Linked DNA regions of Canis lupus familiaris. The protein of the gene in region 3 interacts with the protein of the main gene of each other region in a pairwise test. Links are inferred from orthologs where the notes say so. Each region holds a gene or a part of one and is shown on either strand. Other genes may lie near its edges.

What was found.
Region 1: the proteins of LDOC1 (region 3) and ATF4 interact in binary tests that used the Homo sapiens proteins (3 or more experiments, as listed by UniProt). The link is inferred for Canis lupus familiaris from reciprocal best matches to the Homo sapiens genes LDOC1 and ATF4.
Region 2: the proteins of LDOC1 (region 3) and CTNNBL1 interact in binary tests that used the Homo sapiens proteins (3 or more experiments, as listed by UniProt). The two-hybrid records come from large-scale screens. The link is inferred for Canis lupus familiaris from reciprocal best matches to the Homo sapiens genes LDOC1 and CTNNBL1.
Region 4: the proteins of LDOC1 (region 3) and LENG1 interact in binary tests that used the Homo sapiens proteins (3 or more experiments, as listed by UniProt). The two-hybrid records come from large-scale screens. The link is inferred for Canis lupus familiaris from reciprocal best matches to the Homo sapiens genes LDOC1 and LENG1.
Region 5: the proteins of LDOC1 (region 3) and PSMF1 interact in binary tests that used the Homo sapiens proteins (3 or more experiments, as listed by UniProt). The two-hybrid records come from large-scale screens. The link is inferred for Canis lupus familiaris from reciprocal best matches to the Homo sapiens genes LDOC1 and PSMF1.
Region 6: the proteins of LDOC1 (region 3) and PLEKHF2 interact in binary tests that used the Homo sapiens proteins (3 or more experiments, as listed by UniProt). The two-hybrid records come from large-scale screens. The link is inferred for Canis lupus familiaris from reciprocal best matches to the Homo sapiens genes LDOC1 and PLEKHF2.
Region 7: the proteins of LDOC1 (region 3) and PRPF31 interact in binary tests that used the Homo sapiens proteins (3 or more experiments, as listed by UniProt). The two-hybrid records come from large-scale screens. The link is inferred for Canis lupus familiaris from reciprocal best matches to the Homo sapiens genes LDOC1 and PRPF31.

What each region holds. Positions count from the first base shown.
Region 1 is NC_049231.1:26,489,434-26,493,717, forward strand, and holds ATF4 (cyclic AMP-dependent transcription factor ATF-4), read right to left. Parts: upstream 2,935-4,284; 5' UTR 2,721-2,934; intron 2,113-2,720; 5' UTR 2,021-2,112; coding exon 1,795-2,020; intron 1,702-1,794; coding exon 875-1,701; 3' UTR 790-874; downstream 1-789. UniProt on the Homo sapiens protein: Transcription factor that binds the cAMP response element (CRE) (consensus: 5'-GTGACGT[AC][AG]-3') and displays two biological functions, as regulator of metabolic and redox processes under normal cellular conditions, and as master transcription factor during integrated stress response (ISR).
Region 2 is NC_049245.1:26,819,681-26,824,111, reverse strand, and holds the start of CTNNBL1 (beta-catenin-like protein 1), read right to left. Parts: upstream 2,818-4,431; 5' UTR 2,806-2,817; coding exon 2,683-2,805; exon of another isoform or gene 2,563-2,682; intron 1-2,562. UniProt on the Homo sapiens protein: Component of the PRP19-CDC5L complex that forms an integral part of the spliceosome and is required for activating pre-mRNA splicing.
Region 3 is NC_049260.1:112,048,700-112,052,290, reverse strand, and holds LDOC1 (protein LDOC1), read right to left. Parts: upstream 2,039-3,591; 5' UTR 1,892-2,038; coding exon 1,448-1,891; 3' UTR 624-1,447; downstream 1-623. UniProt on the Homo sapiens protein: May have an important role in the development and/or progression of some cancers.
Region 4 is NC_049222.1:103,811,777-103,816,058, reverse strand, and holds LENG1 (leukocyte receptor cluster member 1), read right to left. Parts: upstream 3,096-4,282; 5' UTR 3,036-3,095; coding exon 2,904-3,035; intron 2,007-2,903; coding exon 1,827-2,006; intron 1,202-1,826; coding exon 939-1,201; intron 321-938; coding exon 47-320; 3' UTR 28-46; downstream 1-27. Other genes in the region: TMC4 (transmembrane channel-like protein 4), read right to left, coding at 3,539-3,616, 3,721-3,799, 4,095-4,250.
Region 5 is NC_049245.1:20,361,528-20,365,341, reverse strand, and holds part of PSMF1 (proteasome inhibitor PI31 subunit), read left to right. Parts: intron 1-958; exon of another isoform or gene 959-1,066; intron 1,067-1,166; 5' UTR 1,167-1,181; coding exon 1,182-1,310; intron 1,311-3,739; exon of another isoform or gene 3,740-3,814. UniProt on the Homo sapiens protein: Plays an important role in control of proteasome function. Inhibits the hydrolysis of protein and peptide substrates by the 20S proteasome. Also inhibits the activation of the proteasome by the proteasome regulatory proteins PA700 and PA28.
Region 6 is NC_049250.1:40,413,986-40,418,369, forward strand, and holds the start of PLEKHF2 (pleckstrin homology domain-containing family F member 2), read right to left. Parts: upstream 3,011-4,384; 5' UTR 2,929-3,010; intron 1,365-2,928; exon of another isoform or gene 1,079-1,364; intron 1-1,078. UniProt on the Homo sapiens protein: May play a role in early endosome fusion upstream of RAB5, hence regulating receptor trafficking and fluid-phase transport. Enhances cellular sensitivity to TNF-induced apoptosis.
Region 7 is NC_049222.1:103,831,980-103,835,793, reverse strand, and holds part of PRPF31 (U4/U6 small nuclear ribonucleoprotein Prp31), read left to right. Parts: coding exon 1-86; intron 87-1,039; coding exon 1,040-1,167; intron 1,168-1,247; coding exon 1,248-1,320; intron 1,321-1,783; coding exon 1,784-1,912; intron 1,913-2,007; coding exon 2,008-2,106; intron 2,107-3,449; coding exon 3,450-3,575; 3' UTR 3,576-3,814. UniProt on the Homo sapiens protein: Involved in pre-mRNA splicing as component of the spliceosome. Required for the assembly of the U4/U5/U6 tri-snRNP complex, one of the building blocks of the spliceosome.

The DNA.
Region 1 (4,284 bases), on a different chromosome or scaffold from region 3:
TAAGATGTGGGAGGCTCTTGGCCTTGTGAGGAATCCTACAATCTTAAGGGAAGACGTCCACCCCCTCCAGCACCCCAGAGCAATGTTCCCATCAGGGTCACCGCTGCTTGCATCCCAACAGGGGGCTGGCTCTCCCACTTACTATGCTGGGCATTGGGAAGCAGATCAGGGAAACACAGGCCCACCTTGCAGACAGACCCTCACATGCCTTGTTTTCCAAGCTCTTCGAGGGGCCAAATGGGTGAAGAGCCATAGGTTCCTTCACATACCTACTTTCCCCAGAGGAAATGCCCCACAGGGTTACCCCAGGGACCAGGAGAAAGCACATAAAAAGCTCACACTACCTGGTGCCACACTGGGTGTCCCCATCGCCATTCCAATGAACGTCAAGACTGGCTCTTCCTGGAGAGCTAGCCCTGCACACCAATTGCAGCAAGGATTCCTCTGGTCAGATTGCCAGCCTTTGAGCCCAGCACTGGCTAAGAATTTCTGCATCTCTTTAAAACTCCTTTAACAGTCCATTCCAAGAAAAACCCAAAGACCTTTTCTTTGCAGTTCCAGGATTGAGTTTACAGAACTTGAGTTCAAAGTGGAATTTAACCTTGTATGCCCAGGTGGGGCCTTACCTGGGTACTCAAGACTAGTCAGTGTTATGGCTTATGAGGCCACAGCCTCACCCCCAGAGTCTCCTGTGGAGGCCCTGAGCCCAACAGGATTGAGCCAACTCCACTTGACTTGGTCACCATCACCAGGGTAGAGATTAAGACAAGAAACCAGGTACACACGAGCTCAAGTACTTTCACTACAAAATAATTTATTACAACACAGCTTCAGCGCAAGCCTATGTACAAGCACACATTCCTGACACCCCCAACTAGGGGACCCTTTTCTTCTCCCTGGCCTTTCTGACCTCCTCTATCAAATCTTTCAGATACTGGATCTCCTTAGCTAAAGAATCTGCCCTCTCCTTCAGAGCCTCGTTCTTCTTTTCCAGTTCTTTACACTCACCAGTGAGGGCTTCCTGCTCTGCCCTCTTCTTCTGGCGGTACCTAGTGGCTGCTGTCTTGTTCTGCTCCATTTTTTTCAGTTTCTTATCTAGTTTCTCAACCTTTACTTTTGCGGTCTTCTCTCCAGGAGGGTCATAGGGTTTGGGGCGGGCAGAACCACAGAGGGAACCTGGAGACAGCAGGCTCCTATTTGGAGAGCCCCTGGAGGTAGAGGGGCTATGCTGGGGGGACCCAAGATAGGACTCAGGACTCATACAGATGCCACTGTCATTATCTGAGGGGGCATCTTCCTCCTTTATGCACTGAGGGATCACGGTAATGTAAGCAGTAGAATCTGACTTTCTATCTCCTTCAGAGATATCCACTTCACTGCCTAGCTCTAAACTAAAAGAATGATCTGGAGTGGAGGACAGGGCCCCTGGGGAGAGTGGAAGTGGTTGCAGAAAGGTAAAGGGGGCAATCTGGTCTGTTTTTGGTAAACTTTCTGGGAGATGGCCAATTGGGTTCACGATCTGAGGGGGCTCCTTATTAGTCTCCTGGACTAGGGGGTCAAAGAGATCACACGTGTCATCCAACGTGGCCAAAAGCTCATCTGGCATGGTTTCCAGGTCATCTATACTGAACAGAGTGTCAAAATCAAACTCCTTCAGATCCATTTTCTCCACCATCCAATCTGTCCCGGAGAAGGCATCCTCTGCAAAAGAGTCAAGAAGGAACCCGAGAGGTCAGACGCACACTTCAGCAACAGCCCGGAGACCAGACCCGGCGGCCAACGACCCCCACTCACCCTTGCCGTTGTCTGAGGCACTGACCAACCCATCCAAAGCCAGCCATTCGGAGGAGCCCGCCTTAGCCTTGTCGCTGGAGAACCCATGAGGTTTGAAGTGCTTGGCCACCTCCAGGTAGTCGTCTAAGAGACCTAGGCTTTCCTCAGCCCCCAAACCCGACTGGTCGAAGGGGGACATCAAGTCCCCCACCAACACCTCGCTGCTCAGGAAACTCATCTCGGCCATGTCGCGGGACTTTACTGGAATCGAGGAATGTGCTTAATTCGAAGGTGTCTTTGTCGGTTACAGCAACGCTGCTGCTGGATGCCGTGAAAAGCCTGAAACGGAAGCAGAAACCGAAACCCCTTCGACATCGGCCGGTCCGGGAAGCTCATCCCTTCCTCCCGGGGGCAGGACGGCCAGACTGGAACTCCACTCGGGAGCAGAGGCTCGGGGACACGTGGCCCCGGGGCCATGGCTTCCACCTTCCCCGCGGCCCCGTCGGGCCGCCCAAGATGGACGCCCTCGGGGCCGGGCCGCTCCTCCCCCCGCCGCCGGAGGAGGCGCGCCCGGCTCATGTCCAAATACGGCCCAGGCCGCCCGGCCCCGCCCACGGCCGCCCGTGACTCACGCTGCGCCGCCGCCGCCCTGCCCGGCCGCCATCTTGGCCCCTGCCACGTTTCGCGGGGGGCCGGGCGGGAAGCCGTCGGGGGCCGCGGCCGGGGCCGGGGCCGCCGAGGGCTCGCTTCTCCCCGCCGGGCCGCACTCTCCTGACCCAGAAGCGTCGGCGTCTCGAGGACACCCAAACAGGGGCCACGCGTCCCGGGCGCTCGTAAAGCCGCTTCCCCCTACGCGGCACCGCCCCGCCCCGCCGCAGGCCGCGCCCAGGCGGGCCGACTGCCCTCGCCGACCCGGGGGAGCACGGCGCGGGCGGCCCCGTACTTACGCCATGGCTTAAGCCGCTGGGGGGTGCCGCTGCAGAGCCTGGTGCTGCTGCCGCCGCTGCAAAGGCCAATGCTGCCGCAGGCACTGCTGCCTCTAATACGCCATGGCGGCCGCGGACCCTGGGGGATTGGAGGAGGGAAGGCGCACGCTTGCCACAGGGATCTACATCTACAGGCGGGAGGAAGGGAAATGGCCGCGCCGCGCCGATCGAGGGTCCTTTATAGACTTTGCCTCTATGAGGACGCATCACACCGCACATCCTTCCGCCGCGGTCACGTGACCCGCGCCTCCCACCCACCCGTCTTCGCGATCCGACGCCCCTATCGTGTCCGACCAGCGACTTTTAGGTCCACGGCGTAGCTGTGAAGAGAAGAGTTGTTACTTCCAACGTCTCGAGAAAGGAAAAAGGCGCGCTACTTTGCAAGGCTACTAAGATCAAAGAGCCTCTCCTCCCTCTGCCGCCGGGAGCGCGGAGGGATTCCTCAGACACACCTCGCTTCCGGCGTCAGCCTGGGGGGCGGGGAGAGAAGTCTTTCACCTCAAGGAAGGTTTTTATTGTGAAGTCAGAGGCCGCCTGGTTATCGCGCGAGATGCTGGCGGAGAGCGAGCGTCGAGCTGATTGGTTAGACATGGTGAGTCATATATATCTCGGTTTCCTATTGGCTCAGACCCCGGGATGGGCGGGCCGCTCCGAGCGGGAGGCCGGGTCCGAGCGGGAAGGGGCGGAGCGGCCAGCGGGGTTCCCGCCGCCGGGCTGTGTCCTCCGTGGCCGCGTCTCGGTGAATCCGCTCTGTAGTGGCTTCTTGAGCCTGGCGTACGCGAGGCTGTCCGAGACGACCCTGGCTCCTCCCCCGGGCTTCTGGAGCCCGAGGAGTCCCAAACGGCGACATCAGGCCCTGGCCCCTGTGGTCCCTTCCTGCCACCCTCCGTCCAGCTCCGAATTAGAGACCCAAGTTCAGGCCCGAGATGAAACTAGGCAAAAGGAAGTGGAATTTCGGGTGCGTTTTCATCACACGCAAGCACCGAAGTAGCTGAAAGGGGAGACTGAGGGCCTCAGTCGGGTTCTAAACGCTCCCCACACACCGTCAGGGGCCAACGCCGCGTCCTTCCCGTGAACTCTCCAGTCCGGTCGGGAAGGTGCACAATCTAGCCCAGTTAGTGACTCTCGCATACCGGCCTGCCAAAACGTTTCTGTTAAAAGTATGCAGTCTATCACAGGGAACTTCTTTTGGTTTATACAGATGCAGTTCCCCTAAGAGATTTTGTTAAACTGGTATCTGTCCCTCTCCCAATTCTGCAACCTGGTGGGGGGAGAATCTTGAGCACCCACGCCCACTCACGGAGGTTTGGAGGTTCGTGTTTGGAAGCGGCGGTCCAGGTCAAGGCCTGCAACTTGCTCTCCACCGGAGAGCTGTGAAGAGTGCCGGGAAAGGTCTCCACTATCCTCCGTCTCCTTCAGGCCCCTGGAGGGCAGAAACCTTGGAGTTTCTGCCTCCGTTTTAGTGGGCCATAGAACTGTAGGAGGGCTGTGAGGTCAAAAATTGGGGGGGGGGGGGGGGGGGCGG
Region 2 (4,431 bases), on a different chromosome or scaffold from region 3:
TTTTAAGTTTTTAAAAATCTTAAAACAAAACAGAAAACCAGGTTGGGTAATCATTCGGTTCCAGTTCTGGCTCTGCTCCTGGCTATTGTCCTTGGGCAGGTAACTGACCTCCCTAGCTCAAGTGTCCTTTTCTATAAAATAGGCATGCCCCTCACCTCAAAGCATGTTGACAATTAAATATAAGAATCCATCTGAAAGCACTTTATTCAGCATCTGGCACAGAGTAGGCAGGCACGACAGCACAGTCACTAGGAGCTTCAGTTATGAGGCAGGTGCTTTTCTGTACCTCAGTTCCCTAATCTGTACAACAAGGATTAGAGACAGTACCTTCTTCATAGGGTTATTAGAAAGATTTTGAGAGATGGTACAAGTAAATGATGCATCTTTCATAGCTATAAAATGTTACTGTTTTTGAAGAGCTTTTGCGTTCATTAATTCAAATGATCTTCACCTACTTCCACAAGAGGATGGGTGCATTTGATTGATTATGAACTAGATTCCAGACTGTACCATCTTTTAGGAACAGGAGGAGTGGACATCCATCTTACGAAAAGGAAATTGCATGAATAGTGCATATGGGGAATGAACAGAGATGAAAATAAGGAGATCAGGATTCTGGTTTCAACTATGCCAGTACCTTAGCCCACAGCTGCAGAGAAGTGCTTTATCAGAATGGGGTTCACTCCTCATCTGTAATGAAGTGGGCTGCATGAGGTTATCTATATAACATCTCTCCAAATAAAATTTGAACTCCTTACCATGGCCTACAGGAAGACCTACATTGTCTGTCATCTGCTTACATCTCCTATTCATCATCTACCATTCTCCTGCTCACTCACCATGTTCCAGCACCATCAATCCTCTCACTGATCTTCTAAAAGGCTGTACCAGCTTCTACCTCATAGCCTACATACGTGCTCTTCCCTCTGCCTTGATTCTTCTGCCCTTTTACATGATTGGCTCCTTCTCAACCTTCAGTCCTTTAGCATCCATTCCTCAGAGTCCTTCCCAGACCATATTACCCAAAGGTAATAGGTCCTGTCTCCTACTGCCAGGGGTTATTTTATTTTTTTTTTTAAGATTTTATTTATTTATTCACGAGGGACAGAGAGACAGAGGCATAGGCAAAGGGAGAAGAAGGTGCCTCACAGGCAGCCCGATGTGGGACGCAATCCCAGAACCCCGGGATCACGCCCTGAGCCAAAGACAGACACTCAACCACTGAGCCACCTAGGTGTCCCTCAGGGGTTATTTTCAATCATAGCACTATCTAATAAAAATATACTGAAAGCCACAAATGAGCCACATATACAGCCACATATAACTTTAAATTTTCTAGTAGTCATATTAAAAAAAAGTTTAAAAGAAAGTAACATTAACTTTAATAATATATTTTCTTTAAGCCAATATACCCCACATATCATTTCAACATGGAATTGATATAAAGATTATTAATATACGTTACATTAATTTATTTCACACTAAATCCTGGAAATCCAATGTGTATTTTACACATAGCTCTCAATTCCACACATAGCTCTCAATTCCAACTAGCCACATTTCAAGTAGCCACAGGTGCCAGTGGCTATCTCACAAAACAGCACAGTTACAGAGTATACTCTGCTTAGCCTTCAAGAGCCTATCACAATCTGAATTTACTTACACACTTATCATCTTCTAACTTTCTCACCAGACTACAAGCTCCACAGAAGCAAGAACCTTGTCTGTTTTGTTCAATATTGTATACTCAGAGGATTTTGAACAGTAGGCGTTCAATAAATGTTTTTTGAGCAAATGAATGAATCTCTTTTAGCTTCAATATTCTGAGTCAGTGGGCCTGCCATTCTACAACTCCCAAACAGATATGTAACCACTCATTCAACAACCTTATTTCCTTTCTTCTTTCATGTTCAATAACTGTCTTAAAAAGAGAAATCTCGGGCAGCCCCGGGGGCTCAGAGGTTTAGCACCTGCCTTCAGCCCAGGGTGTGATTCTGGCAACTCAGGATCGAGTCCCATGTCGGGCTCCCTGCATGGAGCCTGCTTCTCCCTCTGCCTGTGTCTATGCCTCTCTCTCTCTCTCTCTGTGTGTGTGTTTCTCATGAATAAATAAAATCTTAAAAAAAAAAAAAAAGAGAGAGAGATAAATCTCTTGGCTATATATCTCCCGTTGCTTATAAGTTCTTTTCTACGACGTCTCCAAGGTCTGTTCTTCATATACTGGCTGAGGGAGTGACATGAATATAATTGTTAGTGTTTGCTGAACTTTTACTCTTTGACAAGCATTGGCAGACCATTAAGAACTTCATGACAGACTTATGTGGCAGGTACCATCTTTGCCCCTAATTACACATGGGGAAACCAAGGCACAAAGAGTTAGTTAAGTAAGTATTCTGTGCAAGGTTACAGCAGCCAGTTAATAGCAAAAGAGACACTCCAAGGAACAAGCAGCCCCGGCCCCTAGTTCTTAACGACCTATTCTCTACTGCAGACCTGCCAATGGAAATACAAGACCGGTTATATATGCAATTTTAATAGCCACACTAAAAGGTAAGTAGCCACCTGAACAACGTGGACAGCGGGGCTCTACTGCCTCTCACGAGGGGCCCCTGTAGGAAGTCAAGGAGGGGGAAACCTTTGAACTGGGAGCCAGGAGACCTCAGCTCCAATCCCAGCTCTTACTTGTTGAGTGACTCTGGATAAGTCCTTTCTGCCCTCTGGGCCGCGGATTCCCGCCAAGTAGCCAGAGCAGGGAGGACGAGAAGATTCCACGCTAGAATTCCACGCATCTCCTAACAATGGCATGGGAACAGCTCTTACACTTTACAACCAGCTTTCACACCCGGTAGTTTGCAACGGAGGCCTCAGACAACCCAACGGGAGGGTTAGGACTGTCGCCGTCTTACAGATACAAAAACTGACGCTCAAAGAGGGGGAGATGACTCGTCCGAAGGGCACATGGCTAATTACTGGGGAAGCCGGGGTCAAAGGCGGGCAAGGCCAGTGCCCTCCCACCGCCGCCACCAACACAACGCCCGGGGGACCGGAAAGCCGACGAGATGGCTGCGAAGGTGGCCGGGGGCCTGCGGAAGAGTTGACGGGGACCAGGCCCCAACCCAGGGTAGGGCAAGAAGAGGCCCAGGCTGCAGCTGAGACGAAGGAGCCTGCGCTCTGAGAAGGAATGAACCAAAGGGCCCAGGAAAGTCTCAGGGGAGTGGAGTGAAACGAGGGGCTCGGACGCCGGAGCCTCAGGAGCGCGGGGGACGCGGCCGGGGACAGAGGCGACGCGGGGGGAGATGAAGGGGCTCTGGTCCCGCGACCGCAGAGCCCTGCCTGGGTGAGGGGATGGCTCCCGGCCTGCCTCGCCCCTCATACCTGGTAGCTCAGAAGTTCGCCCACATCCATGGTACCAGGCCCAGCCAACACCTGCTACTCAGCTTCCCTCCACTCACGGCCAAACCGCGGGCCCCTCCGCTGCGGCTCCGGCCACACTGCCGGAAAGCGCGGTGAGCGGGTCGCACGGCCAATGAGGTAAAAGTGAGAGGGCCACGGAAGCCGGCCACACTGCTGTAAAAGGCAACGCCACCGTAACGCGCGCTGCATTTGCGACGGTACTGCTTCCGCCCGGAGCCTGAAGGAGGCGGGGCGTGGGGGGAAGGGGGCGGAGACTTGGAGGAGGGCGGTAGGGTGAGAGGAAAGACCCAAAGGAGCCAGGATTTGTTGGGCGCCCCCTATGTGCAGGGCGGAGCAGCGAGAGTTTCACTTGTGCTCTCCAATTTTTTTTAAAGATTTTATTTATTTATTTATTTATTTATTTATTTATTTATTTATTTATTTATTTATTTATTTATTTATTTATTCATGAGAAACACAGAGAGAGGCAGAGACATAGGCAGAAGGAGAAGCAGGCTCCATATGGGGAGCCTGATGTAGGACTCGATCCCAGGACCCCAGGATCATGCCCTGAGCCACCCAGGCATCCCTATGACCTAGCCAATTTTATCCTCATTTCACAAATAAGGAAACTGAGGCGTAGAAATGCATTGTCCAGTTCTATATCTACTAACCACATGTGGCAACCGAGGGCTTGAAATACAGCTAGTCTGAGTTGAAATGTGCCATAAATGTAAATAAAATACACACCAGATTTCTAAGATTTTTTTCTTTTTAAGATTTTATTTATTTATTCATGAGAGACACAGAGAGAGAGAGAGGCAGAGACACAGGCAGAGGGAGAAGCAGGCTCCATGCAGGGAGCCCAATGCAGGACTCGAACCAGGGACTCCAGGGTCACGCCCTGGGCTGAAGGCAGGTGCCCAACTGCTGAGCCACCCAGGGGTCCTGATTTCTAAGAGTTCTGTTGATTACATGTTGAAATTTTCTTTTGAATATAGTGGGTCAAAGAAAATATAAAATTAATTCACCTTTTTT
Region 3 (3,591 bases):
CCATAGGCAGGAATCTGGGACATATGTATGGGTGGGGATTCTAAGACAGTGCACCCGGGGTGCTGAAATGTTAAGATCACGCTCTATTTAGTATGGGTTCACTCACACAGGATCCAGGGCTTAATGTCAGTTCAAGCACCTGAAAGGGGCATTAAAACAATATGCTACGTAGTTAACTGAAGTCTGAACTCAACAGCGCCCCGCGGGCAACAAGACTTAAGGGACAGAATTTCTCTGGCAGTGTTGAGTAAGGAATCCAAAGGCTCAAGAAGATAATAACATTGTATGTGTCCAGATTTATGCCTGTTGTCCTAGTCTAATTATTAACAGTGTCCCCCTTTAACTCTCAAGTGTCCCAGTTTGGGATGGTGTGCCACCTGCTCAGCCACCCCTTACCCATGCCACCCTGGAGGCCCCAGAGGACACTCACTCCTTTTGCCAGGGCTTTAAGAAATGCCTTGGTGAGGAGAGTACCAGAATTCCTAGAAAACCCTGTGGTAGTTGTCCTCTGTAGCCTAGAGATGACAGTGGCGAATACTGGGACTGAACTAAGTTCCCTGACCTCAGGGGGCATAACGGGAGTCAGAGTGAGATTGGAAGAGGCCAATGATAGCACTTAACCATTAAAAGACACTCCTTTCTTTATTTTTGTAGTGCTTGATATTTATTGAAAAGAACGTAAATGCTTTTTTCCAGGTGGTATTGAGGAGCTGGGCTGAGTGCCTGTTTTTGTTTGTTTGTTTTGTTTTTAGTATTTCTGTCCAAATGCACACATCTGTTGGGACTGCTGCAGTTTGGAAAGAAAAAGGACAGCTGTGCAAAACTGGTGCATAGGAGAAAAGAAATGTCAACAATTTGGCTGCCAGGCGCACTAGGCCCCTGCAGCAATCTGGTGGGGAAGGGGAGGACCCTGGGAGTAGGCAGGGAACTAACCAGGTTGAAAGACTGGCCCCTTCAGGGGCTGGTGAGCTGTCCAAATCAATGTCCAAGGACATAGAGCCAACTCAGGCATCTTCTAGGTTGGTCCTTATTTTCAAAGGCTGTGTTCTGTCGCTGGAATGTGGTGGACGGTGGTGAAGTGGCAGCGTAGGTCTCTGGGCAGATGGAGGCCTTGCAGTCGGCAGGGCAGGGCTGTGCGTGGTCTGACCAGTTTGTAACAGGGGCCTGCCCTATAGCTGGGGCTCAGGACACAGTCCAAATCAGCAGGGGAGGGCCCCGGGGCTGGCCAGAGTGGGTGGCGGCGCGCTTCCGAGCGAGGCCCCAGCAGCAGGTAACCGGAACAAAGGCAAGCACTACAGGGGGATGACGGAGAGAACCGGAGAGCTGGGGGTAGGGAAGGGGATGGGAGGGCGGAAGGGCGCTGGGCGGCTCCGGGCCGGGCAGGAGAGGCGGGGGAGAGGATGGCGGCGTGCAGGGCCCTCCCCCCTGGGCCCGAGGGTCTCCCGGCCTAGTAATCATCTTCCTCGTCGTCGTCGTCGTCGTCTTCTTCGTCGTCATCCCAGCCAAAACACTGTTTCATCTCATCGAGGAAGGCCCGGTAATCACCTAGGATGGGGCTATCCATCTCAATGTAGGGCACCACCCACTCCTCGGCTTCCCCGGTGAGCAGGCTGATTAGGAATGCCACCTTCATGGCGTCGTTGCAGAATCGGTTCTCGTTGACGAGCATGTAAGACGCCGTCTGCACGATAAACTCGGGGAGCCGGGAGCTCTCGCCGCTAAACGTTTCGGGGAAGGGCACCGGGCAGCTCGGCGGACGTACCTGGCGCAGCAGGGTGGCCCTCTCGCACACCAGCAGCCGCAGCTGTTCCATGAGCTGGCTGTTCTCGATGCTCAGGGCGCGGTGCCGCATCAGGAGCGCGTGCAGCAGCAGCACCAGCTCGTCCACCATGGCGAACGGCTTGCAAGCGCAGGGCTGGGCTCGGCTCAGGTGCGCACGGAGGCCTCGCAGGAAGTGCGTGTCCGCCGAGGCGCACGGTGGCCAGGGGCGGAGGGCGGTGCGCGCTGGGGTCCGGCTGCTGCGCAAGCTCCGCCCGCACAGCCACTCGGGCGGCCGGCGCGCCGGCGCGGCCCGGGTCGGGGGGCGTGGTCAGGGCGCTGCCGGCGCCGCGAGGGGGCGGGGCCGGGGCGGGGCCGGCGGGCCGGGGGCGGGGCCGGGGGCTCGGTCCAAGGGAGGGGGCGGGCGGGAGCCGGGGGCCCGCGGCCGGAGTTCCCGAGGCCGGCGCCCGGGAAGGGCAGGCTCCCGCGCTAGAGCCCCGGATGTGCGCCCCGGGACCGCCAAAAGCCAGCTCAGAGAGGGCCAACCTGCTCAACTTTAAAGGATCGGTCACGCTCGGACTCAGCCGACTCACACAGTGCGGGGCTCCTTGGTGGGTCTGTGGCTACGAGATTCCACCTGCGCGTTTCGGTGACACACGTCCTCGCTTATTGAAATCCCACTCACCCAGGGAACTGCTGGCGCTGCGGCCTGCCCCGCGGGAGCCACGCATCCTTTCGGAGTTGCGAAAGACCCTTCCTTGGGGCTCCTCTTTGAAAACAAAACAATATCTAAATGGGGTTTTTTTTTCTTTAGTTGGGAAACAATATTGTATACCTACATCCTTTTTTAAAAAGTATTTTTTTCTAAACAGTCAAGTATAAAAACTTCTGCAAAAGCACCACTGGAGAACGATTTGCAGGCTCTCGCCTCTCTTTGACCCTCTGTTTCATGTCCTGTTAATGCCCCTTGGCCCTCGGTCGCATGTTGTTTGTTGCTTAACAATGAACACTTGTGTTTTTAAATGCTTTGGGCTTTCTACTTTGAACTGGATTATTTAAATCGTTGAGTCCAGGACCCTAGAGCTGAAATTTTGTTGGCTCTGCTTTTAAAATATATCCCCAGATCAGTCACTTCTCCCACTATACCACCCTGATCCAGCCTTCCTTATCCCACCCAGACTGCTGCAACTGCTTAGCTTTCACTCTTCTCTTCCTGCAGTACACACAGGAGTCCCTCCTGATCCACGGTTTTGCTCTCCGGTGCTTTCAGTCACCCGTGCCAAGGGTGGTTTGATCCGGAATCAGCTGACCCTCCTTCTGACCTGGCACCAGAAGATCAACCAGTAGCCTGGCGTCGGATCACTACGCATTCTATCATCTCACGTCATCACAAGAAGGGTGAGTACAGGACAGTAAGATACTTTAAGAGATATTTTGAAACTTGCATAATAGTTATGTGTTACAAACATTCTATTTTATCACATGAGCTAGTAATGTCTTAGTGTGCCTAACTTATTTAAATTGTATCAAGTACGTATAGGAAAAAATATAGTCTATATATAATTCAAGACTATCCTCAGTTTCAGGCATCTGCTGGGGATCTTGGAACAGATTCCCCTGTGGATATGGCCAGGGAACGAGTGACTCATGTCTCAGGGCAGTGGCTCATATTTCTCAGTGCCCACTCTCTCCAGAGAGTAGGCACAGGAATCCTTTTGAACAAAAGTGAGAACTTTTTACTCCCCTGCTCAAAATCATCCCAACAGTTTTCCACTCTCACTTGAAATAAAAATAAAATAAAAATAAAAATAAAAGCAAAGTCTTGGCTGTGGC
Region 4 (4,282 bases), on a different chromosome or scaffold from region 3:
AGTGAGGGACATTTTTTGGTAAACCTATTTTCATTTTGGAAAATATTTATGAATAAATAGTTTTATATGACGGCTGGCAGCTGCGGCCTCTCCTCTCCCCCCAGGAGTCAGTGAGCGCTGGGGTCTTGCTGGTGGGGCGCCGGGCCCACTGGGGATTGAACTGGGAGTTGTACCGCCTCCGCCGTTCATCTGTCTCCTCCTCAGGCTGCTCCTCCTGGGGGGTTGTGCTCCGGACTCGTGCCAGCAGGGCCTCTGCCCGAGCCCGTTCTGTTGCTTCCCGCCGAAGACGTTCAGCTCGAAGCTGGTCCAGGGATGGGGGTCTGGGGGGAGAACACTCAGGTCAGAAAGCTTATAGCCCCTAGAGGTCCCACTTTCCCCCAAGAAGGAGCTGCCCCACCTGGAACCCCGTCCACCTCTACCTGCTCTGGTCTGAGAGGTTTGTGGGTAGGAAGCTGGCCTCATGCTGTGCAAGGACCCAGGACTGCCATCACTGCCCCTGATGCCCCTCCAAATCATGAGCTATGATGATGAGCACAGCCAGGACCTCAGTTTCTCCTTCTGTAGGAGCTAGGAGACCTGCTCAGGTTTGTCCTCCTTGGGACACAAACCTGCTCTGACTGACCCCGTGGTTCTCAAACTAGACCCCAGAAAGCTTTGTGTCAGTGGGTTTCATCTATTGCTATTTTGCATAGAAGCGAGAAAACCTTGAAACAAGGTTACGTCCCCAGTCACCACAGTGTCTCTTCACGCCCTGTCTCTTTAGAAGCCACTGGACAATCAAGGCTGAGTGAAGGGTCACAGGGGCTCAGGAAAACCAGCTTGCCTCTGCAGACCCCCTGCTAGGGCGTTGGAGCCCCAAAGCCACACGTGGCGAGCCGCCTCCCCAGGCCCCCAGCCCCTCACCCTGACAGCACCAATGCAGCTGCCCACTTCCTTACACTTCAGGCCGCTGCTTCTCAGGCTTCTCCTTCCCCTTCCTGCCATGGCCACCATTGTCCCCACTGTGCCGTCTCTTCCTCCTCAAGTGCTTCTGTATCTCCTGTAGAGGGTCCAGGCGGTTCTTGATCTTTTCATCTGGACCTGGGCTGAGCTGGGGGGCCCCTTGCCGTGGGGGTAGCTGATACCAAGGCAGCTGAGTCTGGGCTTCTGCTGCACTCTGGCCCAGGTAGGTCAGGATGCCCAGAGCTTTCTCCTGCCTCTCCTGAGGGGGACAGAAAGAGGGAACTGAGGATGTCAGCGATGTCTCCACTCAGGGAGCCCTACCTGTGACAACAGAATCCCCCAGGCTCCTGGACAGGTAGAAGCAGCATGAGTCAACTCAGCCATTTTTCCAAGGACAGGTGGGCCTCCTGCACTGGGCAGAGTGTCAATTCAATAACAAAAAACACAAGGGGGAAGGACAGGGTGCAGCTGCTTTAGGGTTCAGAGGCAGCATCTTTGGGGAGATACTTTAAAGATGAACCTGAAAGCCCGCCAGCAAGGCAAAGGAGTGAGGCGAGACAAAGGCAAGTTCAGAGTTTGGTGGGAACCCCTGAAAGTGGGTAAGTGACAGGACCCAGGTTCTGATTTAGATGAAAAAGCTTCCTAATACACCTCCACAGGGTCTTGACATCAGCCCAAGGGGTCTGTACCTGACAGTGCCGTGCACCCACTTCCAAGCCCCTGCAGGGAGGGTGCCAATAACCCACACTGGGAGTGCTGTGTTCCAGTACTGAGTTCTCTGTGTCAGCTCATTTCATCCCCACCCTACCTCTCTGTTCCCATCAGTCACCCCAGACTTTACCCCTGACTGACAGGGACGGGTGTGGGGGGGGCGCGCAGCTTACTTTCTCCTGTCGCTTTTCTTCCTCATACTCTCTATTGCCTCTGGTCGCCCCTTTCCCTTCCTCCAGCAGCTCCCGAAATAGGTCCACAGGGCCAGAACTGGGGGCTCCCGCCTCTGCTGCTTGGAGCTCAGGTAGCGAGTGCTGGTGCCTGGCTTTCTTCCGTAGGAATTCTGTGCGGGCCTGGGGGAAAGAAAGTTACAGGCAGAGCATTCATTGCCTAGCCATGCCTCCAAGAACTGTGAGACCGGTGCCAAGCACAGAGAATCCCCGTGCTGGTGCTGAGGGCTCATCAGAGCATCACCCAGCCTGGGGGAGAGGATGGGAGAATGAGGTGACACCTGGGTTTGTACGCTGCCTTTGGTGAACCAGAAGGGTTTCCCAACCTCAGCTGGCACAATAAAAACAGCTAGGAAGGCAGCCCAAAATTTGCGAGCAGGCGACCAGAAATACAGTAAGGCTCCAGATCACTGTCCCTCGACCACGTGCAATCTGCTGACCAAAGTGAGCTTTAAAAGCCCAGACCACCTCCCGGCCAGCGGTGAGGGCCAGATTCGTTAACAAACTTCAAACTCCGTGCACACTAGAAGCTAGAAGTTACTCCGAGAACCCCCGGGGTTGGGGGCCGCGGGGAGAGGGCTGGCCCCACAGGGGGATGGGTACGTCCCACTTCTCTGCACAGCGGAGGGCAGTGCCCTCTGGGCACGAACAGAGCAGGTCCAGCGCTCTGCTCGGGGCGAGCATACAGCAGACGCTCCAGAGGGGTCGGGCAGGAACACTAAACGTGGGTCTGCGTTTCTTTGAACTGCACAGGATTCATTTTTTCAGCAGCCCCTACTCTAAGCCAGGCACACCCCGGCCTCACGCAAAACGAGTGGCGGAAACCAGGGCAAAGGGGAGGCCCAGGTGGGGAAGCCTCAGGTAGGGCCCGCGCAGGCGAGCCCCTGCGTTTCCAACCGCGCCCAGCTCCTCCAGCCTCACGGGAGGCACTGCGCGTGTGCGCCATCCCGCTTCCGGCCCCTCCCCCACGCGCCTGCGCGCTCGGCCCGGGAGTCGCGTCCGACCGCACTCGGGGCTTACCTCCTGCTGAGCGAGCAGCACCCTCCGCTCACGTTCTTTCTCCTCCTCTCGGGCCTGAGCCTCGTCACGCCGCACGCGGGCGACATTGTCCTTGTTCCGGACGTGCCAACTCTTCTTGGGCAAGATATTCATGGCGTCGTAGCCGTCCACCGACTGCAGGCCCACCTCTGAGCACTTTCTATTGGCGAGAGGATGCCGTTCCCTGTTGTTCCTGCCTCAGCTACGGATTGGCCCTGGGCTGGCTGCCACGCCCCTCCAAGTCCGTAGCGAGCGCTGATTGGCTGAGATGCCGAATTCGGGTTGGTGTAGCCTGGAGACCGCCTCTTCACCAGGTCCTGAGCCAATCACTTGTCCCCGCCCTGAAGCTACGGGACGCGGCCGCTGATTGGCTGGCCTTCTCGAGGCCGATAATCTGATTGGCCGGCTCAGGATGCAAGTTACAAACAAAGCGCTCTGCAGTCTCAGCGGCGTTTATTGGTACGAGAAAGGTTAACGCGAGAGTGAGGGGGTGTCAGGGCCCCGGAAATCTCCGCAGCCGGGGACTTAGGGTCTTCTCAAGTTCTCTTTTACAGATGAGGTGCGGGCTTCCATAGGGTCCGGGGGCAGGATGAAGTGGGCCATGGTCCCGAGCAGGGCTAGGGAGGTCGAAGAGCCCCGGTGGCCGAGCTCAGTGCCACAGCGCGCTGTGCCAGGAAGACCTTATTCTGCGCCTCCTGGGTAGAGGTAAAGGGTAAAGAGAAGTGCAGGTGAGGCCGACCGCTCCCCACCATTTCTTTCAACATCCAGGACCCCCTACCATGAACCCGCTTTGCCTCACCGTCTCTATCTGGCGTTTGAGCTCAGAGACCAGACGTCCATAGGAGTTAGCCAAGGCCAGGGTATATGCCATCAGGATGCTATAGGGACGGAAATGGAAGCCATACCCAGGGGGCTCTTAGCATATCTTCAGTGTAAAGGCTCCTTAGAAACCGGGGATCTGGACTCCCAGCCCCACCCCACCCCCGCCAGACCCCTCCTCCCTCAGACCCGGGAGTCCAGGCTCCTCCAACCTCAGACCCAAGAGTCCAGGCCCCCAGCCCCCTCCCTCCTCAGACCCAGGAGTCCTGGCCCCCAACCCCTCCTTTCTTAGAAACAGGCAGTAGGGGCCCCCAGGGAACACAAACTCAGACCCAGGATTCTGGGCTCCCTCACCTGGAGATTAAGAGAAGAGGCACAGCAAAAGCCTGGGTCCCCAGGAAAAAGAGAAAGTTCTGGACGGTCTGAGGGAGGTTGGAAATAGACTCAGGGATCTGGGCCCAGATAGACGACTGCCCTTGGAATGGACCACACAGCTTAGAAGGTGGGATCCTGAAGAAGTCAGAGACAGTGTTCAAGGATGG
Region 5 (3,814 bases), on a different chromosome or scaffold from region 3:
TTAAGCAGAAGAGTGAGGTCACTTGGTGTGTGTTCACAGAGTACAGAACAGACTTTAGGGAGACAAAGATGGACTAGGGCGGTTCAGAGGCTGGTGCAGACATCCAAACAAGAGAGGATAGTGGCTCCCCACAGTGTGCTGACTGCAATGAGAAAACTAAATTTATCTGAGCAAAAACCATAAGTGGAATCGAGAAACTTGGGGGGGGGGGGACGCTGTATGCATATATTTTTAGAAACTTGTTGAAGAAATAGTAGGTGGTGAAAATCATGGAGACAGGAAATTAAAAATGATTGAAAGTTGGTAGTGGATCAGGAGCTCCAGCTCTGTGGGCAGCAGCTGTGTCTCCTTGGAGGAAGCGACTTCCATTCTCTGAGCTGGTTCTGTCATCTTCAGAATGGGGATGATCATGGCACACGCCTCACAGAGCTGTGGACAGGGCGATGTAAAGGTTTTGGCACAGGATCCAGCACACAATAAACATTGAAGAAGCGTCATCCTGGGAGCTAGACTGCTAAGTTCCAGTACCATCTCTGCCACGCACTGGCTGGCTGGCTGTGCCATCTCGGTGAAATTCACCCCTCTGTAAAACGAGGCTATCATGAACTCCAACTTCAGAGGGTCAGGTCGTGATGATTAAATTAATGAGTACAAGGAAGCCATTTAGAATGAGGCGGCCCGGAGGAAGCACCGCATACGTGCAGGCTATTATTACGAATATATGTTGCCCATATTTCGTCAACTCTTCCCCCACCAGCAGATGCCCGCCTCACTCTGCGGATGGGTCGTCTGCGGCTCAGAACCAGGTGGCCTCTCCTCGGGGATCTAACTTAACATCCTGCGGGGGGCGGTCCCTCCCGGCTACCGGGGAAAGGGAGACTCCCGCCTTAAAGGACCACGCCCCCGCCCCGCCCCGCCCCGCCCCGCCCCGCCCGCGAGATGCCTAGCAGAACCTTTAAGTGCCGCGCTCCGGTTTCCAGCCGGCGCGCTCGCGCTGCTGAGCCGGCGCTCGGAGCTACTTCCGGCGGCCGCGCTCCGCCCCCGGGCGGCTCCATTTTGGCCGCAGGTGGAGACTAGGCCTGGGCGGGCGGAGTCTCGGGGGGGCGTCCTCGGCAATCGCGGGGCCGAGTGGGCTCACGGCACCGTCTCCTCTCCTTCGCCCGCAGAAACCGGGGGCGAGCATGGCGGGCTTGGAGGTCCTGTTCGCGTCGGTGGCGCCGGCCATCACCTCCGCACAGGACGCGCTCGTCTGCTTTCTGCACTGGGAGGTGGTGACGCACGGCTACTACAGCGTGGGGACCGGCGACCAGGTAGGCCGGAGAGCCAGCCGTGGCGGGGGGGGCGTGGGGTGGGGGGTGGGGGGTGGTGTCTTCTGCCCGGGTCCGGGGCGCGGGCCTGACGCTGCCTCGCCCGAGTCCGGTCCCCGGGGGCTGCCGACGCCGTCGGTCCAGGGAGCGGTGCGGGGTGCCCGGCCCGGCGCCCCTCACGACACAGCTGGGACTACATGATTCGGAAGCCCGAGGACGGAAGCTTGCTTCAGCACAGCCTGGATCGTGCGGTCCTGACGCTGAGACCCGGGCGTCGCTCCGCTGAGGACTGCGCTGGCGGGAGGGGGGGGGGGCTCCACTCGAGCCTCCACGGGTGAATCTGAATCCGAGCGCGCTTACACGGTGAGCTTCGACCTGTTCAGCCCCCCTCAGGGGCCCTTCCTTAACTCCACACGGCTTTCACCTTTCACTGAAGGGCCCCGTGAGGTTCCCACCCGCCGCTGTCATCCCTAGCTCCAGTTCTGGGAAACAGCCAGCAGCCACCCCATCCCCTCCCGCTCCCCCACCCCCACCCCCACCCCCAGGTGCACTCCTGCAGCTGGGATGTGAGGGCCAGGTAAGATTACCTCCCCAACAGCTGCCCTCCCTACAGGATCAGCCCCTCCTGCTCGCCCATCCTCAGGCTGCCTCTGGGAGCTGGGGGCCTTGTCCACGCCCACTGAGCCCTGGGACTCCTGGGCCTTGCCTACTGCGTAATTCTTTGGGGGAGCCTTTGTTCATCTTCCTTGCCCCTTCCCTGGCTTGCTTTCACCCTCCACATCATCCTGCACATTAGCTTCCTGTGAGAACTGGGCCTGGCTGCCTTCCTGCCCCTTCAGTTCTCTTCTACTTCATCAGAGTAGATACCCTCTTAGCCACCCACTCCACATACACGCGGGATGCCCCAGCCTGCCCCTCACCACCACCTTCTCACCCTCAGAAGCTAGATCAGCTCTGGGGAGTAGGGCACCTCACCCCTTGCATCTCTTATGGTGAGATTTGGGCCCTACTTTCATTTCTAACTGCTTCAGTTCTCAAACTCCCTAATCCTTTCTTAGTTACTTAGATGTACATCTAGCGTCTTATGTTGTCCTTTCCTGACACAGCTTTAAGGATCCCTCCTCAGACACAGCGTCCACATCCCGAGCACTGAGAGGCCAGGCATTCCCTTCCACTCCCTGCCGCCCCTCCCTCTGTCCTTTAGAGCAGTGGACGAGATCACCACTCCCTCTCACACTTTCCCCACCAACAGGAGTCACATCAAAAGCACAAGAACTGTCATGATGTCAGGCTTGTTTTTTTCCTGCCAGACCTTGAGTATCTCACAGGGACGCCAGATACACACTTAGCATCCCCCATCCCCAGCCCCCTCCAGGCTCAGACATACATTGCCCCTCATGTGGAATCTGGGACTGGGTATAAGGCTGGAAAAGAAGAGGCCTCACACACGTGGAAGCAGGAACCACGTTTTCCTCCCAAATAGCTCTGTTCTTGGTCTTACTGTCCACTCTGCACTCCATTCCATTTATCCTGTCTTTCTGCATTTCAAGCCTTGGGATTGGGTAGAGAGGAGGCCTCTACCCACAAGTATTAGACTCCCACTCCAGGGCAGTATCCCCAACAGCAACTTTATGTTTCATCACTTGTCCCACTTTAGCTTTCTTTTCTTTTTTTTTTTTTCTTTTAAGATTTTATTTATTTAGTCATGAGAAACAGAGAGGAGAGAGAGACAGAGACACAGGCAGAGGGAGAAGCAGGCTCCATGCAGGGAACCCAATATGGGACTCGGTCCTGGGTCTCCAGGATCACGCCCTGCGCTGAAGGTGGCGCTAAACCGCTGAGCCACCCGGGCTGCCCCCACTTTAGCTTTCTAATCTTGTGTGACTCTTTAACTTGCCCTGGTCATTTCATTTCAGCTCTGCCTGGGAAATCCAGGAAGCTGATGTACAGAATGGCATGGAGTGCAGTGGGGTTGGAGAGGGAAGGAAGACTTACTTGGTCCTGCCTTTGGGGCTCCTCTGTGGGCCCTCAGTTCCCCCCACCCCTTGCTCTGTCCTTCAGATATAACAGATCTGCCCTGCTCTCTGCCTTTGCTCATGGACCTCACCTTGTTTACTCCTAACTAGCTACTTCTGCTCTGACACAGTTGGGATCTTTCCCCCCAGAACAGGAACATGTTACCAAGGGCCTGTGTGACTCCCTCACTTCTCTCCCATGTCACAGGGACATGTCATCACTGCAGATCTGCTCCCACCAATTGTCCCTTCACACACCTGTCAGCAGCTCTGGGTTGTTCTGACAGCTTAGGGATGTCAGTTTGTATGGGTCATTGCCTCCTTCGACATCATCACCTTGCCGAATACTCTGGGCCCCAATTTTTCAGGTGAACTGTGCAGAAAGAATACAATCCCATTTAGCACTGATTTTAAAAAATAAAAGATCTTTGATTCCTAAAGATCCATCTAATTCCACTCTGTTCATGGTGCCACCTGTTGAGTTCGTGCAGG
Region 6 (4,384 bases), on a different chromosome or scaffold from region 3:
AAAGATTTTATTTATTGATTCATGAGAGACACACCACAGAGAGAGAGACGCAGAGACCCAGGCAGAGGGAGAAGCAGGCTCCATGCAGGGAGCCCGACGTGGGACTCCATCCCGGGTCTCCAGGATCGTGCCCTGGGCTGAAGGCGGTGCTAAACCACTGAGCCACCCGAGCTGCCCACACTTTCTAATTATTATTCTTTCATTGACACATTGCTTCTTCTTTGTTGATTATACTTAAATCTATTATCTACTTGGAAATTTCATAAACATTCAAATTCTGTATTCCCAGGCCAAAATTCATTGAGTTGGCAAAATAAATTCTCCCCCAAAAAAAGGAAAAGAAGAGAAGAAAAAAAGTATTAGGAAAGATTTAACTTCTATGCTCACGGAAAGGGCAATTTATTTTATTTTCAAGATTTTATTTATTTTAGAAAAAGTGTGTGTGAGCATGTGAGCGAGTACAGAGGGGAGGCGCAGAAGGGAAGGGAAAGGATCTCAGGCCGACTCCTGGCTGAGTGCGGAACCCCACCCGGGGCTCGATCTCACGACCCTGAGATCATGACCTGAGCGGAAATCAAGAGTTGGACGCTTAACTGATCGTACCCCCCCCCCCAGGCTCCCCTGGAAAGGGCAATTTAATAAGACATTCATAAAGTACATTTACAAGGAACACAGGAGTCCTCGTCCATTCAAAGCTTTCCTGAGCGTTCGCTCCGATCTCCACACAGGAGGGATGAAGAAGCTAAGCAGGCTCCGCAGGTACCGGGGCAGCCCAGTGTGGTGCGTGCTGGACTGCAGTGGGGTCAGTGGATTAGTCTTGGGGAGAGGAAGGGGCTGGGGTAAGAGCAGCCCAGAGGAGGTTTCGCAAAGCACAGGCTCAAGTGAAAAGTTCACTACAAGATTCCTTGTAAATCGGCTCTCCGGGAAATAAGTAAACTGAGGAACTAAAATCAGAGAGAACAGCCACGACAGGGGAAACCAGGTAGGCGGAGCCGGCCGGGCAACAGCGACGAGGTCCTGGAGTCAATGCTGGAGGGAGAACCAGGGGCTCAGGGTCCTACAGGCCTCACTTACATACCGGTTTGGCGGCTCAGTTTATGAAGTTCGCTAAGTCCCCTCACTCCTCGGTTAACTCTTCATCCAGAAAAACAAATGTGTACCGTGGTGTTTGCTTGACAATGAAGCCACACAAAAAGGATTTTTTTTAAGAACTAAGGAAATTAGGGGCCCCGGCGGCTCCGTGGTTGGGGCGTGACCCGGCGGCCGGGCCCAGTGGGGGGGGGGGGAGCCCGCTTCTCCCTCGGGGTCTCTCCTGAGCACATACATAAATGAAGCCTTAAAGAAAAGAACTACGGCAACTAGGAACCAAGTCTGAGCGTGACCTCCACTCCCACCTCTAGACTAGGGCGGGAAGTTGTCCAGGACGTGTCTTAGGATCTATCCTGCGGCCCGGGGAGCCCGGGGTGCCGGGGAGCGCGCAGCCCAGGCCCTTCTCGCGGCGCCGGCGCGGGGCGCACGGTCACCCGGACCCCAGGGCCGCCGGCTCCGCCCGGGACACGCCTAATCCCTCGGGGCTGCCAGCGCCCGGGCGGGGTAAAAACACGAGGCAGCTTCCCTGGCCCGGGCTGACCCGCCGCCCCCGACCCCCCCCCCCCCCGGCGCAGGTGCAGCTCCCCCGGCGGGCGCGGGGCGGGGCGCGGGGGGCCCGCAGGGAGCCCGGCCACTCTGTCCTCAGCCCGGCCGCCCGCGGAGGGGCACGACCCGCCCGGGGCCGCCGGCTCCGGCTCCGGCTCCGGCTCCCAGCTGCGCCTTACGGCCCGCGGAGCCCGCTCCCCGCCCCGAGGCCCTGGGCGCTCCGGCTCCACCACCAGGGCCCGACGTCCCGCCCGCCAACTCCGTGCCCACGACGCCACCGCGGCCGCTCCCGCTCCCCTCGGCCCGCAACCCGCCGCCCGGCCCCTGGTCCCCCAGCGCCCCGGTTCCTAACCCCTGGTCCCTTGGTCCCCCGGTCCCTAAACCCCCAGCCCCCCGGTCCCCAACCCCCCTTGTCCCACAACGCCCCCCCAGACCCCCGGTCCCTAAACCCCTGGTTCCCCAGCTCCCCGGTCCCTACACCCCTAGTCCCCCAGTCCCTACCTCCCTGGTCCCTACACCCCCGGTCCCTAACCCCCTGGTCCCCCAGCCCCCCTAGTCCCTAACTCCCTGGTCCCCCGGTCCCCAAACCTCCAGTTCCCTGGTCCCCAACTCCCTGGTCCTCCCGTCCCCCCCCCCCGTCCCTAACCCCCCAGCCCCCTGGTCCCTACCCCCCTGGTCCCCCCGCCCCCAACTCCCTGGTCTTCCGGCTCCCAGGTCCCTAACCCCCAGCTCCCTGGTCCCCCGCCCCCCGGTCCCTAACCCCCCAGCCCCCTGGTCCCTAGTCTCCCTGGTCCCTGGTCCCCAGCTCCCTGGTCCCTACCCCCCTGGTCCCCCGCCCCCTGCTCCCTGGTCCCCCGCCCCCCCGGTCCCTAACCCCCAGCCCCCTGGTCCCCCCGTCCCCCAGCCCCCTGGTCCCTAGTCCCCCAGGTCCCTAACCCCCAGCCCCCTGGTCCCTAGTCTCCCTGGTCCCTGGTCCCCAGCTCCCTGGTCCCCCGCCCCCCGGTCCCTGACCCCCAGCCCCCGGTCTCCCCCGGTCTCCCCCGGCCCCCCGGCGCGGCCCCTGCGGACGGACGGCGGCCTCTCGGGCGGGGCGGCGGCGCGGGCGGGGGTCCGTCCGTCCCGGGGCCCGCGGGGAGCGGCCGGGAGCGCCCCGTGTCCCGCAGACCCCAACATGGCGTCGGCCGCCGCCCGCGACGACGACACCTCCCCGCGCCGCAGACGGCCGGGACCGCGGGGGAAGCGCCGGAAAGTTTCGCTTCTCCCCGGGCCGGCCGGGCTCCCGCGCACACGCACCTCGGGCTTCGCCTGCCCGGCCGGGCGGCGGCGGCGGCGGCGGCGGCGGCGGCGGCGGGGGTCCGGCTCCTCCTGGCCCCGGGCTCCGGGGCGGACTCTGCCCCCCGCCTCCCGGGGCGTGTGCGGCGGCGGCGGCGGCGGCGGAGGAGGCGGAGGAGGAGGCGGAGGAGGAGGCCCGCAGCCGGCGCGATCCGGACCCTGCGGGCGGGCGCTCGCTCGCTCCCTCGCAGGTGACTCCCCCGCCCCGCGGGTCGAGCCCCACAACGGCCGCCCGCCGGCCTCTCCCCTGCGCGTGCACCGGCGCCGCCGCCCACACGCCCCGAGCCCCGGGCACGAGCGCCTCCGCCGGGCCCGCGCCCCGCCCCCCGCCCCTTGCGCCCCGCGCCGCCGCCCCGCCCGCCCGGTGGGCGTGGCCCAGCCGAGACCCCGCCCCGCCGCCAGGGTGGGCGTGGCCGAGGCCCGCCCCACAGCCCGGGTGGGCGTGGCCGAAGCCGAGGCCCCGCCCCCGCCCCACCGCCGCCAGAGAGGGCGTGGCCGAGGCTGAGGCCCCCGCCGCCCGTGCCGCCGCCCCGCCCCGCTGCCAGGGTGGGCGTGGCCGAGGCTGGAGCCCCGCCCCCCCGCCGCCCCGTCCCGCGGCGAGCTCCAGGGGGCGGGGCCTCGGGCTCGGCCACGCCCACCCCGGCGGCCGGGCTGCTCCGAGACCCGGGGGCGTCCTGGGCGCGGCGGGCCTCGGGGAGGGGCTGCGCGTCTCCTGACCCGGTTCCTCGGAGGCGTCTCCCCGCCACGGAACGGGCGTCCCCGCGGACCTCGGGAACTTCCCGCGGGCGGGAGAGAAAGGCTCCTGGATGTACGTGCCCGGAGGCGCGCGGCCCGCGCTGCCCGCCGCCCCAGGGCCTCGCTCGCGCGCCCCGGGCCGGGCCTCCTTGACCCAGGGCGCCTCCCCCGCACTCGGGCCCGCGCCGCCCGCCGCACCCTCAAGGGCCGCCTGCCCGCCCGCCCGCCTGCCCGCCGCTGCGCTCCTGCGGGGCTTCCCCGACGCCCACAGCCTCACCCACCCACGCCGCGTACCTGCGAGCACTCCCAGGGCCCCGGAGGCCACAGGCCCTGGCTCCGGGACACCCGCACACCCCGCAACCCCGCACACCCTGGACACCGCGCACACCCCGGACACTCCGCACACCCCGCACACCCCGCACACCCCAGACACCGCGCAACCGTGCACACCCTGCAACCCCGCACACCCTGCACACCCCGCAACCCCGGACACCCCAGACACCCCGCACACCTCGCACACCCCGCACACCCTGGACACCGCGCACACCCCGGACACCCTGCACATCCCGAACACCCCGCACACCCTGGACACCGCGCACACCCTGGACACCCTGCACATCCCGCACACCGCGCAACCCTGCACACCCTGCAACCCCGCACACCCTGCACACCCCGCAACCCC
Region 7 (3,814 bases), on a different chromosome or scaffold from region 3:
TCCGGCGGAAAGCGGCTCGGCTGGTGGCTGCCAAGTGCACACTGGCAGCCCGTGTGGACAGCTTCCACGAGAGCACAGAAGGGAAGGTGAGGCACAGCAGGCATCTGTGTGGGTCTGTCTCCTCTACCAGACTTGTCATTGTTCAGGTCATCACTGAGTTTACCTCTATCTCTCTTGGCAGACTTGCTCCATGAAAGTGGGTATATCTTGTCTTGTGCAGTCTGGCACAGTGTCCAGGCTTCAGTCTCTTTCTCTCACTGCCCCCCACTTTTCCTCTTGACCACTGGTTGAGGTTCCAGTGGGGACAGCAGTGAGCACTCCGACCAAAGCCATGCCCCTGTGGCATTCATGTTCTGGCTGGGGGCGGGGTGAGGACACGGGCCATCTGTGGTGTGTCCAGGGATGCCACATAAATGCTAGGGTGGGATCAAAGGGTGCTGGGCTGGTGAGGGAGGTTGAGTTTAACCCGGACGTTGGGGAGGGCTTTGCTGCAAAGGTGAAGGTCTAATCTGCACCCAAGTGAAGTTGGTGCAAGTGAAGCAAGTTGGTGAAGTGAAGCAAGTCAAGTGAGTGCCTGGGGGAAGAGTCCTAGGAAGGAGAAGCAGCCAGTGCAATGGCCCTGAGCCTGGCCCACAGGAAGCCAGGGAGAGGAGGCTGTGGGATGGGACAGGTCACGCAGAGCCTGTGTGCCCCAGAGAGACCTTGGCTGTAGCAGAGATGCTGAGGGGTGCGATTTGGGGTCTTAACTGAAGGAAAAGCCCAGAGGGAGAGAAGCCAGAGGTGAGGCTCCCAAGTGACCTCCCTTTACCAACTTGTGCAGGCCGGAGCTGGAGGCTGGGGAAGAGGTGCAGGTGTGCGGTTTGGCCCTGTTGCACTCGGGGGCTGCCCTCCTTCTCCCCCATCAAGGACAGAATTATATGAGGGGTGCTGGGAGAAGTCTGAGTCTCCCAAGAAACACAGGCCCCCCAGGCCTGGGAACAGGTGCCACACACAGGTAGAGGGATGGGCAAGGCTCAATGGGACCCCCTGCCCTCCCCAGGTGGGATATGAGCTGAAGGATGAAATCGAGCGCAAGTTTGACAAATGGCAGGAGCCGCCGCCCGTGAAGCAGGTGAAGCCCCTGCCTGCACCCCTGGACGGGCAGCGCAAGAAGCGAGGTGGCCGCAGGTAGGCCCTGAGGGCCAGTGGGGGTGAAGAGGAGGGGAAGGGGCTTGTGACCCCAGCTGACCCCTGGCGCCCCTCCCCAGGTACCGCAAGATGAAGGAGCGGCTAGGGCTGACCGAGATCCGGAAGCAGGCCAACCGCATGAGCTTCGGAGAGGTCAAAGCCTTAGTCTGGATGTCCCCACCACATTTCTTCTCGGCTGAGGCAGCACCTCACCTCCAGCCTCCCCCCACATCCATGTACCCTGAAGGGACCTATGCAGCATTCAGTGTTGGCCCTGTCCCCCGACCCCCACCCTTTTGTACACACCTCCCTGTCGGGTTGGATCTGCCCAGGGAGGGTCCTTCCTCAGGCTTCACCTCTGCCAGACTCATTACCCAAGCATCATCCTCATGGTCCTGCAAGAACCAGCTCAAACACCCTCTAGTCAGCAAGCCCAGTTTTGGTTGTTGACACTGCATACATGAACACTCACAGCTTCCCTCAACTGTCAGCTCAGGGAGCCGTAATAGGACTGGACTCCTCACTGGGCCCCAGCAGGCACCTGAATCGGGTCAGTGCCTGGGGCATCCGGCTGATGAAAGATGGCTAACTCTTGGTTACCTTCCCCTCCCACCAGATCGAGGAAGACGCCTACCAAGAGGACCTGGGCTTCAGCCTGGGCCATCTGGGCAAATCAGGCAGCGGGCGGGTACGGCAGACACAGGTGAACGAGGCCACCAAAGCCAGGATCTCTAAGACACTGCAGGTACAGGCGGGGCCTGAGTGGGCCTGGGAGTCTGGGAGCTCCAGCAGGAGAGCCCAAGCCAAGCCCAAACATCCTGTCCCCTCCCCTCCACACAGCGGACCCTGCAGAAGCAGAGTGTCGTGTATGGCGGGAAGTCCACCATCCGTGACCGCTCCTCGGGGACTGCTTCCAGTGTGGCTTTCACCCCTTTGCAGGTACTGTGCACCTGAGTCAGGAGGCCCAGTTCTGGGCAGGCTCTACTCCCAGCTTTCTGAGTGGACCTGGGCAAGCCCCTTCCTCTCGCAGGGCTGTTGTGGACAGCCTTGTGTATCAGTGAAGCCCCTGAAAGGTACAGCTCAGTTCCTGGTGCTCAGGCTAGTGGGAGCAGAAGGGAAAAGGTCTGCCTGCAAGTGCAGGCTGGCTTTAGGATCGGGCTGGGACTAGGGGTGACTACTGATTCCCCATGACCTCAAGTGGGCTCAGCTCCTCCCTGAGGTGCTAAGTGGCTGGGACAACCTCAGGGCTCCACGGAAGAAAACTCAAAGGTAGCTGGCTGGGAAGCAGAGGTCCCAGCCCAGCCACTCATGCACAGGACAGAGCCTCTGCATCTGTCCATTTCTCAGCCTACCCACAGATAGCGCCAGCACGCCCCATAGCATCGAGTAGAATAACTGAGTTCATTGGCAACATCAGCAAGGGTGTACTGAGCACCTAAGTTTCAGGTGCTGTTGCAGGCACTGGGGATAGAGCCACAAGCACAAGACAGCAAGCCTTGCCCTCAGGGAGCTTGTGGGGTGGCAGGGGTCAGATAAGATATGGAGCCTGGTGGAAAGTGGAAAGTGCAGGGAAGAAAGGGGAGAGGGAGTGAGGCATCGGGTTGGACCCGCCCAGGGAGGCCTCAGCAAGAAGGTCAGAATTACCTGTGGAAGATACTGGGAATGGTGCCAGCCAGTGTGGAGCCCCCACAGCTGGACGCCGTGTCACCAGTAGGCTTGGTGTAATTTGCACGAGGGCCAGAGGTGAGCCACTTAGCTCTGTGACTCAGTTTCCTTATTCAGGAACCAAACCCGGTCAGCTGTTCTGAAACATTGATTTTTTTTTTTTAAGATTTTTATTTATTTATTTATTCATGAGAGACATACAGAGAGAGAGAGACAGAGACACAGGCAGAGGGAGAAGCAGGCTCCATGCAGGAGGCCTGATGTGGGACCCCATCCCGGGTCTCCAGGATCATCAGGCCCTGGGCTGAAGGCGGCGCTAAACTGCTGAGCCACCTGGGCTGCCCAACATTGATGCTTTTAAAATTGCTTAGAGAACTTGATAAAAATTCAGATGCCCAGGTCCTCCCCACTCTTCCCTCTTCCCAGAGCCACAGTTAGAATCTCCCCAGGTTTGGGGTGGGGGCAATTTGGTAATTGGAAAACTGTTCTATCACCTGGAGCCCGGAACCATTGAAAAGGGCCTCCCCGACATGTCACAATTCTCTTACTGGGTAAGGGGGCCTTGTCAGGGGCCAGCCCATCTCCCCACCCCATCATTACCTCATTCACCTGCCCAGGGCCTAGAGATTGTGAACCCACAAGCAGCTGAGAAGAAGGTGGCTGAAGCCAACCAGAAGTATTTCTCCAGCATGGCCGAGTTCCTCAAGGTCAAGGGCGAGAAAAGCGGCATCATGTCCACCTGAGGGGCTGTACCCTGGGTGGCTGCCCCTGAAGCTACACAGGCCCTGCCCTTCTGAAGGGATCAGGATCAGGATAGGGCTGGGAGGTTCTGTCCTCAGCCCAGTGCCAGGACTGTCCAGGAAGACTCAGGAGGAGACCCAGTCCCCACGCACGAGATCGCTCCCTATTGCAGGGGGGCAGAGCCAGTCTTCATCATGCCTCACCTTTTTTAACTAGGAAGGAAGATACTTTTGGAAAAAGT